Rattus norvegicus: one gene and its partners. The protein of the gene in region 2 interacts with the protein of the main gene of each other region in a pairwise test. Links are inferred from orthologs where the notes say so. Each region holds a gene or a part of one and is shown on either strand. Other genes may lie near its edges. The genes, in order: Sln, Tmem79 and Sftpc.

Region 1 (3,825 bases), on a different chromosome or scaffold from region 2:
ATGTTTAAATACACACATTAACTTGGCAGCTTGCAATATCTGCAAGCAGAGACACCAAACCAGAAGCAAACCTTAAAGTTTAGCATTGCCCTTTCTTTGGATCACATTTAGGAGCGGGATAACATCATCTTTCGGATTTAAAGCTGCCTTAGGTCTTCATCCAACCCTGGTGAAAGCATAAAGAAGCTCCAACAGCTGCACGGCTTTGTACAAGCCTATCCTGGCACAAAACCTGCAGAGGTCAACCAGAAGTCCCTCGCACAACCGGTATTCAGTCCAAAGAACAAGTGTTAACCTCATGAGCATTTCTGTTTCAACAGGGGCTTGTGCCAGCTATTTTTAGTCAAGCTCAGGATGTGCCTAGATTGTAAACATTTTAGACAGCACAGAAGGCATCTTCACCGTGCATACGGATCGTACATGCAGGAAAGTGTCCTCCAAGAGGGCAGGTGATGCTGTCAATCAGGTTACTCATTTTTGGTAAAGTAGTAAACTGATGCTTGGTTTATATAATCAAATTAAAATTTAAATCTTCTGTATCTTAAATGATTTAAGCAGATACTATTACTGTAGGACAAGACTATAGCACAGAAGAAAAATTCAGCTGGAAAGAATACTGGTTTGCAAAAAGTCAAAGTTTAAGGGCAACAGCTTTGTAGCAACTTTTGGCCTGACTGAATTAACTGTACCTGTTGTATTTGTTGCATCATCAATGGACCAAATTATTAATTGCATAGATACCAGCGGAATAATCAGCTTTTATTACATAATTTTGAGTATAATAAGCAGGTTTGTTCCACATTATAGAATCTCATTTTAAATATAGCCAATGAAGATTGATTTATGGCTCCTTTCCCTTTCATTCTTGATTTTTATTGTGTTTATTTATGTATGCAGCTGGTGCAGGAGACACTTGTGTGTCACAGTACACATGCAGAGATCAGAGAACAAGTTTCAGGAGTTAGTTCTCTCTTTCCACCCTGGGGGACTTGGAGATTGAACTCGGGTTATCAAGCTTGTCAGCCATGCCTTTTCTGTTATGCAATCTTGCCAGCCCCTCCCCCTTTTAATTCTTATCTCTCTTTCGGCCCTTAGCATGATGGACATTGTCAATTACTAGTGAAAACTTTAACAGACAGTTGTCTGGAAGAGACAGTAAGCAGAAGAAAATTAGTGGGTAGCAAAAGGGAAGAGAATGCTCGTGAGCGTTCAGAGGAGAGGGGGAGGCTGTTAGGTGAAGTGCTCACAGCAAAGGAATCCTGAACATGAACCCCCAAGACCACATATTGGAAAGCTCTGGCCACCAGCAGTAGAATGGGTAATCATGGCATTCACATTCATTTGAATATTGTGGAGTAAAGAAAATATATGATCTACTCTAGCTATACAGGGCAAGATGGAAGGATCTCACACCATACCTGTGGGATGAAAAGAGGATTTACAAGAGGAGCTGAGAATGTGACCCCATTTACACAAGGGCAGGCACCAGGAGCTTAATCGTGTTGCTTAGGAACACAAACACGGTGGTAAAAGTTCAAAACAAGGAAGGACAGACAAGCTCCATGCTTGGAGACAGAAGGCAGAAGGGAAATGATTTGGAATGGACTTCTGGGGTGCCGCCAACGATCTGTTTCTTGGTAAATGGTAGTGAGGCTGGTGTTTCTTATAATTTGTGTTTCAGCTGCTTGAATCTTTTCTACTCTTCATGTTTTTCATCCCCTCTGACTATAGGCTGAGCACCACACTTCTCTTTCCTCTGGTTTAACCTCTGCTATTTCTTTTACTTTGATGGAAACCTTAAATATTTGTATATATATATATATATATATATATATATATATATATGTATATGAACAGAACTCCAGTCTGATGAATTCCCAATGGGTGCAATTCTATCAAAGTCTATGGCAATGCAGTCTGGGATCTTACTTTCACACACATCCACACCCTTTGAGAGGAATGAGCAGAATTAGGCAGTCATTCGATCACCCATATTCTATGTCTCTGCTATGAGCCCACACACGTGCTCTGGCTTCCTATTTTGCCTTCTCTGTGAGTCAAAATGGCCGTCCTGTGCATGGGCCAAAGTCTTACAAACTAGCACCAAATTGTACAAGGAATTTGACATTGGTTTTTTTTTTTCTGGGGTGTAGGGAAAATATAAAATTAGAAAAAGAGAAAATGTATATCAAAGAAAAGCAGGAATCAATATTCAGTTCGCGCTCAAAAAATGCACTCTGTGGTGATTACCTGTTCCCCTGGGAAATAAAAGCATCAGTTAACATTTTTATTTGAAAATTGCACACGGTGAGAGACAGAGACAGAGAGACAGAGACAGGAAGAGATTGCTAAGTACAAAGATTTGCTGTTACCTGAAGAGAAGCAAAGACACACCCAGGCTGCCGTGGACCTCAATCTCTCCAACTCCAGCTGTCTCCCCGGCTGTCTGAGCTCCTGGACTCTGGGCAGGGCCTAATGTAGTCTGAGGGAGGTGACAATCACTGTGATGTCACTGGAGAGACATCTCAAAGGGACAAGCTCCAAGGGTTCCAGCCTATTTGTATTCAGGGGGACATGGAACTATGGTAGCCAAGGCTCTGCTCCTTGGGCTGCCAATTTAAATTAACAACACGGGGGTGTGAAGACTCTTGTTCCCAGCCTACTTTGGGTGCAGTGATGTGGGATTGAAATCCATCTTTTCCCACTTTATAAATGTCCCAATCATATGTTCAGAACACCAGAAAGCAAGAGCGATAGACCAGCTTTAACAAATAAGCTGTCTTCACCACTGGACACAGGAAGCTATAAAAATGTAATTTCACGTCATCACCTGAGTCATTAGCTGTTTGAAATGTAGAGAATTCTCTACCTTGTTCCCACATTCTCACACCGAGCTCCAGAATCCCTTAAGTCTCCTTCGAGGCTGATTTTTATCCTAGCGATAGAAGTTATCCCCCTTCCCAACCCCATCACCTGCTGCACATAACTTTCCACCGAAGCAATGCACAGTGAGGTTACATGTTCAGCCGATCTCTCCTGAAACAGCCATGGGAGCCATGGCTTGTATCCGTGTCAGTTAAACTAGCACAGCAGTGAAACAGACAGCAAAACCCAGGCCTTTGGCTAAATGGGGGTTAGAAGTAAACCTGGTCAAAACTAGTGGGAATGTGAGTTCTAGATTAGATAGAAATATCTAGAATATATCATTTTTATTTCCTTTGTGTTGTAGTTTGTGTTTATATGACTATTTTACCTGAAGGTAAGTGTGTGTGTGAACCCACATGTGTACAGTGACCTGGGAGGCTGGAGGGGGCATCGTCCAGTTCCAAACAATTGTGAGCCCCTGTGTGGGTACCAGGATTCAAATCCTAGACCAATGGGGAAATACCAAGTGCTCTTAACCACTGAGCATCCTCACCAGCCCGTAGAGTTAAAGAAATGAAGTGACATCATTTTCAACAGCGAACACTGGCGCAAATCAGACAAGGATGAGTTTGTAACAAATCAGGTTAGAGGAAGTAAGTGAAGCCTTTAACATGTTTAAATGGATTTGAAAGCCATCAATTGAGGAATTTAAATATGACTCCCATAACTGTGCTCCTCAGTAAAACTCATCTTTAAGAATAATAGGTTAAATCTCCCCTAATAGTCCCCAGTTAGGGTTAATAAAAATAAGTCATTCCCAGAAGGCAGGGGTGAACACAATTCTCTGCGTGTTTGTATCCATGGTCAAGCCTTTCTCGCCATCCCTACCTCCCCAGGGGCGCCAATAAAAGAAGGATTTTCCATTGCATTGCTTTATTTCAACATGAGCCCATCGAAGGG
Region 2 (3,825 bases):
CTAGAGTAGCTTCAGTGAACACACTGAATGACAAATGAGGTTAGAGTGTCGGGGCTGTGCTTAGATGTGAGGAAATATGTAAGTCGAAAGCTCCCCTTTGGCACAGCTGAGACCAACCTCTAAAAGGGAGAGAAGAGCTGAGTACCTGCTACCCAGTGCAGCTCAGCAGACAGAGCAGGCTCGTCGGTGCATGGTGCATATCCAGAAACATCCCACCCCCGACTCCCATCCCCGACCTCCATCCCCGACCTCAGGGCTGCGGACCTGCAAGCTCCCTGGAGGATCTGGGATCATGAATTCCCTCACGCCTACCCTAGCCATGGCCGCCCCAGCCCCTACTCACCGAGATATGGCAAACAGACCGGTGAGCAGGGGGAGCAGCTTGAGCGTGTCCTGGGGCAGATAGGTGGAAAGCACAGCCAGGTTAAAGAAGTAGAGGATGAAGAGCTGCACAGACTGGGCCACGTACTGCCGGTGGATCTCTACTTCCCGTCTCGGCTCTCCAAAGGGCCGAAGGGCAGAAAAGCACAATAGGCTCAGCCCGTACACGAGGAGCCCTGGCAGGAAAGGAAGCACACGGGGTCAGAAAAGACAGGAGGGTTGGAATGAGGTCAGGGCTACTGAGTGGACACACAAGCTCCCTGGAGGAGACGGGGTTGGGGGCAGAGAGTGGCAGGTTTGGGATGCCCTCAGTAGTTCCAGCATAATGAAGAGAAACCACCCAATCCAAACCTCTCTAGTCTGCTTCCCAGGTAGCCCTTCTCCACCGGCCCAGACTCACCCAGCACGATGGGGAAGGTGGCAAAGACCCCACAGCGGAGGGTATAGACCAAGCGGGAGCTCATGGTGGGCAGCCTTGGAGCATCGAAAGGCAGGAAGGCGTATGCTCCATACAGCAGGCAGGGGAAGAAGATGAGGGCAGCCACCACCGAGGCTACAGCTCTCAGTGCCTCACGGCCTCCACAGCTTCCACAGCCCCCGCAGGACCGGCCAGGGGGTCTCACAACTGCCTCAGCCCACTTGCGCTCTGGGGGCTCAGGGTGGCTGAGTCGGGCTGGCAAGAAATTCCTGAGCTCGCCTGGTCCGGCCTCACGATGCTTGATGCGCTCCTCCTGAGGCTTCCGCTCGATGCACTGTAGGTCAATGGGCACGAAGGCCCTAACTGTCTTCTCAGGGAGCAGGTTGGCATCCTCTTTGAGTGGTTCCTCCGACTTAATAGGTGCTTCTGACTCTAGGAGCTCTGGCCCAATATCTCGCCAGCCCGGGGGATCCGGAAGTGGGGCGCTGGGATGGGGGTCAGTTCCCCAAGGTAAAGTGGCAGCCTCACTTATTGTGCTGTCTGGTCCATCCTCAGGCCCCTCTCTGACTGTAGGAGACCCTACTGAAGACCCCACTCTGAGGGACTCAGCTCCAGGGGACTCAGTCCCACCTTCTTCCTCTGGCTGCAGGACTGAAGCCTGCGGTGGGCTCTTCTCTGAAATCTCAGTGTCCTTCATGTCCAGCAGGGCCAGTGTCTCCGGTTCTGTCATTATGAGGCTTCAGTTCTGAGATCTACCACAAGGCGATGTCATCCTATAGGGAGTGGGGGAGGTTCTGTGAAAATACCTTGTCTTCTGGCCCTAGTACAGTTTCTCAGACCTAGAACTCCCCAGAGCAGCCGGCCTCGTGGGACTGTAGGGAGAACACAGTGCTGAAACAGAGAGGCGGAGCAGAAGAGTGAAATGGTGGGTAACTTTCCAAATAAATGTCATCCAGCAGGACAAGGGTGAATCAGGGGGCACAAGCAGAGGCAGCTAAGGCCTCGGTCTATGTCCACACTTGCCTTCTACTCTCTCCACCAAAAACTCCTGGATTCATGGCCACCCTAGCTTTGGAATGGGAGGCTGAGGTGTCTAGGACTCGGCTGAGTTTCCTTACAGCCAAGGATCATCCTAGACAGAAGCCGGCCTTCACCCTTCCACCTGCCCTTTGCCCTGCCGATCCCTACCTGGGACTCTTGGCAACTGAGATACTCAGTTCCTTAGTCTCCACACCAGGAGCCAACCATTTTCCAAACTCCCCTTGCCAGTCTCACCCAATTCGGCTGGGCTGGGCTCCACTCAGACTCTCAGCTCTAGTGTGGCGGTGGTTCCCATGTCTCCCTTTCCCATGTCTTTCTTTCCTCCCCTGCCACCCTCCAGCTCACTGCTTCTGGATAAGGCTCTTTTCTTCCTTCACCTCAAGGGCCCCTCCTACCCCTGCCCTTTGGACCCATGATACCCTCTTACTTTACATCTGCAGAGAGGCAGAGGATCCGGAAAAGAACTGCCTAGCTTCTGGCTGGCTCTGCAAGTATTTCCCAGTCTCCCTCCCCTTGCCTGTCTCAAAACCTGTCTGACCAGAGCAGGTGGGGCTCAGATTAAAGGCACAGGCCCTGTCCTGCAGAATCTGCCTACTGGAAGGGCTGTACAGGACAACGTCATCCTTTTTGAAAGTAAGGGTGCAGCTGGGCACATGCTTCCAGCTCAGGGAAGCATCAGGGTATAAAAGTGGGTTTATGTATCAAAGGGTGTTTAAAGTAAATTGTGAAAAAGATAACACTGCAAGTTTGTTTATCTAGTAAATGTTTATTGAGTATTGATTATTAATAAGGTGCTATTTCTGTGGTGGTACAAGCCTTTAATCCCAGGACAGCAGGCAGAGGCCGGCAGATCTCTGTGAGTCTGAAGCCAGGCTGGTCCAGTAGCTGGAGTTATGTAGAGACCCCGTCTCAAACACACACACACACACACACACACACACACACACATTCCAACAAACAGAAAGGTGCTAGTCTAGGCACAAGTACAGAAGAGAACAAAATGACAAGGTCTCTAGCTGTTCAGGTAACAGACATTAAAGTTCACACTAATTTTACTGTGAACTAAATCAGTAGAATTTCAGTAGGGAGAGCCTCTTTAAGGTGCCTCTGAAGCTGAAACCCAACGGGAGTTTCCTGCAGAGGAACTGCGGGTCAAAAGTCAACAGATGGAAAAGACTTGAGGCAGTTTGAGGAATAGAAAGGAGACCTGGTGGCTGGAGCCGGGAGCATAGTGGTATATACATTGCCACTATAATGTCTGTATATGCAGGACTCCAAAGACCCCTTTAGCTTACTTAGGTTTGTGGTTAAGAAAGCAATAGGGCTGTCAAGATGGCTCATCAGGTAAGGGTACTTACTATCAAGCCTGACTACCTGAGTCTGATCCCCAGAGAACTCTCCCAAGTTCTCTGTCCACGTGTATGTTGTAGAACACATGCATCCACAAATGTACACACATACTAAATAAATGTAGCGTCTCTGAGGAATTCCTTTAAAAAAACAAGCAAAAACCGGCTCTTTCTCAGCAGCCATCAATTTCTAGTAGCTCCTCAATTAGGCGTTGGGATACTTCATGAGCCTTCCCACAATACACGCGTGCTGGGATTTTGGCTGACTTGACCTTGTGCATGCAGTCACAGGTGAGCTCCTGTTGACAGCGCTGTTCTGTCTGGCAAATACTGTTTCAGTGCAGACCTCCACTACCTCCGGATCTTAAAATCTTTTCACTGCTCCTCTTCTGCAATTTCTGCTTCAATGACAGCTGGTCCATTCATTTTATTATTTTATGCACATTGGCGTTTTGCCTCTATACATGTCTGTATGAGGGCTTCGGATACCCTGGAGCTCGAGTTACAGATGGTTGTGAGCTGCCATGTGGGTAGTCATTTCTCCAGCCCCTAGCTGTCCCATGTAGCGCTTTGCACTCTACGATCTCTTTTCTTCTCTCCTAGAAACTTCAATTTTTTTTTAAGATTAATTTTATT
Region 3 (3,600 bases), on a different chromosome or scaffold from region 2:
TCGAGCTCCCTGAGACCGCTGACTTCAAGAGATCAGATCCCTAGTAGGTCCCCTGACAAAGCAGGCAGCCCAAGCCCTCCCAGTGTTGCTCAGGCATCCCGAAAGGTACTGTTGCTCACCTGAGGGGTGCTAGATATAGTACAGTGGTAGCTCTCCACACAAGGTGCTCACAGCAAGGCCCAGGAAAGCCAGGTCTCGCCCAGAAGAATCAGAATCGGATCCAGCACTGTGCCCTTCTTCCTGGCCCAACTTAGAGGTGGGTGTGGAGGACTTGGCCTGGAAAGAGCACTTGCTTTCAGTGTCACCTGCATTAGTGCAGGACACTAAACTGATAAGGCAAATTCAGGAGGGTCAGTTTTCCTCACTAATTCGGAGAGGGACTGGGTTGGAAACAGAAGCCTGTAGGGGATGTATGTCTGAGCTCAGCCAAGGCCAGCAATTTAGCAGGTCACCTGAGAGGTGGTAGGGAAGATGGGACACAGGCCCATGTAGAGAGAAGAACATGTCTGGTCCAGGAGCATCAATACTACACAGGGTGGACTAGTCATTCTTTAAAATGTCCCTCTACTCAGCCCTTGGAGGGAGACAGTTCTCTCTCTTCCCTCACACACCCACCTGGAAGTTCTTGAATTTTCTAGCCAAAGCCTCAAGACTAGGGATGCTCTCTGGAGCCATCTTCATGATGTAGCAGTAGGTTCCTGGAGCTGGCTTATAGGCAGTCAGGAGCTAGGCATGTAACACTGGAGGTCATTTATGATGTCCCCTTGCCTCGCCTACTCCCCAACCCTGGTTCTCAGCCAACTAACTCCCTGTAGATTGTTCATGGGGGACACATTTAAATCAAGCCTCTGAGATGTGGCAGGCAGGCACAGAATGGGGAGAGCTCTGGAAATGCTACAACTGGGCAGTTCCCGTAAAGTCCTGGTGGTCCCTCAGGTGTCCTCACCCGCTGGTAGTCATATAGAACGATGCCAGTGGAGCCAATAGAGAAGGTAGCGATGGTGTCTGTGTGTTCACTCAGGGCGAGGCGTTTCTGAGTTTCCGGTGCTCCTCCGATGCTCATCTCAAGGACCTAGGGGAAGGGTGTTAGAATGTGGTCTGACATTTCTCTTTCTTCCTTCAGCCTTTTGGTGCCCATATCTACTCAGAATCCTCTATTCAAATGCAATTCCTTCTTCCCTGAGATCTCAGGAAGGCTAAACATAACTTTCCTGCGTTGGAACAGCTGGTGGTGGTTACACTAGGCCAGGGCCTAGGGGAGAGAATCTATGCTGGATGGCCACCTCATCTCCGCTTGTGTCACCAGATATGCTCTTGTCTGCTCACCATCTCAGTATGTTTCTGACTCATGTGAAGGCCCATGAGCAGAGCCCCTACAATCACCACGACGACAAGGACTACCACCACAACCACGATGAGAAGGCGTTTGAGATGCACGGGGCAGCAGGGAATGCGAAACTGGCTCCTGGGACCTGTCGAGTAATCCTGGGAGAGCAAGGAAAGCAGAGAGACAAATGGGTGGGTGCAAGGATGACTCTTCTCTCCCTGTACAAGCGGGACACCCTCTTATGCCCCTTTAGGCTTTGAGTGTGCAAGGAAGGGCTGGGAAGATCAGAGAAGGTTTTTGGGGAGGAAGGCTTTGGGGAAGGTGTCTGGACTCTAACAAAAGCCATAGATACTTAGAAAGTTAGAAGCAAACTCTATGTTTGGAATAATCCAAGAGAGCCAGTTACCAATCTCTTGTTCTGTTTTCCCAACACGCCTGGCCGCCCAGACATAGGCAGAGTTTTTGTTCCCTCAAAGGATCCAGGTATTGCCATCTCCATGCCTTTATATCCCCTTTGTCCCTTCCCAATTCAGTCCATGTGCCATCTTCATATTTTTTACATTTACTTATTTAGTATGTGTGCCTGTTCATGTGCATGTGTAGTGTGAGTGTGCATGTGTTTGTGCATGTGTGTGGTATGCATGAGGGTGCATGTGTGTATGGTATGTGTGTGTATAAGTCAGAAACAAGTTTCATCTCCTTTCACCAAGGGAATTCTAGAGATTAAGCTCAAGCTGCCACATCTGGTAGCAAGCACCACTACCTACTGAGCCATCCTTTTCTTAAAACCATATATCTATGACCCAGGTTGCTTTTCAACTCCTTATTTATCTAAGGATAACCCTGAATGATTATCTTGCTTACACTTCCAAACTGTGTGCACCTCCATGCCTGGATTATGTAGAACGAGACTGAACTCAGGTCTCCATGCTTACGAGGCTCTCTAACCATTGGTCCACATTCTGGCCTCATGTCATTTGCTCTGTGATGCTCCCTATAGCCTCCCAATTACTTGGTGGCACTATCAATGTTCTTCACAGTCCTTTCTATTGATCCCTCTATGGCTCTCAACACCTTTATTCAGGAATTCATGGCTGTCATGCCTGCCTCTGCCAAGGACTTAGTGATCATGGTATCTCTGTCCTAGCAGCCCACCCGTAAGCTAGTTGAGTATATGAGTCTAGAAAAAGAAAAAAGCCTAGTGGGGGATGGACAGGCAAATCCAATATACTATGTGTGTACAATTGTACACACACACACACACACACACACACACACACACACTCACCGGTGGGCTCTCCATCAGTACCTCTTTGCTACCCATGTCCATTTTGTAAGGTCTCTCTCTCCTCTCCTCATCTCTCTGGTGTGACCAGTGTCTTATATATATCATCAGAGAGAGAGAGAGAGAGAGAGAGAGAGAGAGAGAGAGAGAGAGAGGACAGAGGTGAAGGACTGGGTCTCCTGTCTGCCAGCCAAGTCCTTGGCTTTGAAGCTTGTTTGTTCCTGGCTTTTCAGAGCCTAGGCCCTGATAAGCCAGCTGCAAGAGCCCCCAAGGGCCCTTGGCCTAGGCACATGAATCCTCTTGGCCACAAGGAGAGCAAACCTGGATGAGGTAAGCAAACTCACCCTCAGGCCACATGCTCCTCTCACCGTGGGTGTCTTTCTGGCATGTCTGCCTTTCTTGCTGGCACCTGCCCCTGCAGCCCTGTGGCTTCTCTTCTTCTCACAGGCCAAACTGTTCTGGTGGCAGCCAAGAATCCGGCCATCCCTTTTCACAAGATAACCTCCTCAGGCCCAGACACGAGTTCCATTCAGGGACTGAGAAAGTGGCGCTTGTTGATGAGGCTGGAGAGGTGGCTGGTGGAGGAGCTGGGCCTGGGACAGCACCTGGGGGTCCATTAATGTGATTTCTTAGGGTCGGATTCCTCTTTACCCAACCTCCTCCCACACATGCTGTCCCTCACCTCAGATTTGCTTCCTAATTCTGGAAGTTCTGTCCCCACTGATGGGAAACTATTACTCATGGGTGATGAGTACTGTTTTGTTCTTTGCTCTGGGCTTGTCTGTACAAATGTTCTGGTGGTCTATCCCATCTTTCTAGTGCTGAGGATCAAACTTAGGGTCGTGAGCATGCTTGGGAAGCCATCTAACTGCCGAGCCACATCCTTAGCTCCTGACATTTTCTTCAGCCAAGATGACCTTGCACAGGACTGATTGTGGTCCCAGCCATCTCTGCCCTTCTACTGTCCTTTCTACCCTTCTGTCCTCCT

Evidence for each region.
Region 1: the proteins of Tmem79 (region 2) and Sln interact in binary tests that used the Homo sapiens proteins (3 or more experiments, as listed by UniProt). The two-hybrid records come from large-scale screens. The link is inferred for Rattus norvegicus from reciprocal best matches to the Homo sapiens genes TMEM79 and SLN.
Region 3: the proteins of Tmem79 (region 2) and Sftpc interact in binary tests that used the Homo sapiens proteins (3 or more experiments, as listed by UniProt). The two-hybrid records come from large-scale screens. The link is inferred for Rattus norvegicus from reciprocal best matches to the Homo sapiens genes TMEM79 and SFTPC.

What each region holds. Positions count from the first base shown.
Region 1 is NC_086026.1:63,138,292-63,142,116, reverse strand, and holds the start of Sln (sarcolipin), read right to left. Parts: upstream 2,396-3,825; 5' UTR 2,373-2,395; intron 1-2,372. UniProt on the Homo sapiens protein: Reversibly inhibits the activity of ATP2A1/SERCA1 and ATP2A2/SERCA2 in sarcoplasmic reticulum by decreasing the apparent affinity of the ATPase for Ca(2+). Also inhibits the activity of ATP2A3/SERCA3.
Region 2 is NC_086020.1:176,098,533-176,102,357, forward strand, and holds the start of Tmem79 (transmembrane protein 79), read right to left. Parts: upstream 2,339-3,825; 5' UTR 2,268-2,338; intron 1,691-2,267; exon of another isoform or gene 1,672-1,690; 5' UTR 1,530-1,671; coding exon 782-1,529; intron 558-781; coding exon 344-557; intron 1-343.
Region 3 is NC_086033.1:52,006,552-52,010,151, forward strand, and holds the start of Sftpc (pulmonary surfactant-associated protein C), read right to left. Parts: upstream 2,658-3,600; coding exon 2,616-2,657; intron 1,486-2,615; coding exon 1,327-1,485; intron 1,073-1,326; coding exon 947-1,072; intron 727-946; coding exon 616-726; intron 277-615; coding exon 130-276; 3' UTR 120-129; intron 1-119. UniProt on the Homo sapiens protein: Pulmonary surfactant associated proteins promote alveolar stability by lowering the surface tension at the air-liquid interface in the peripheral air spaces.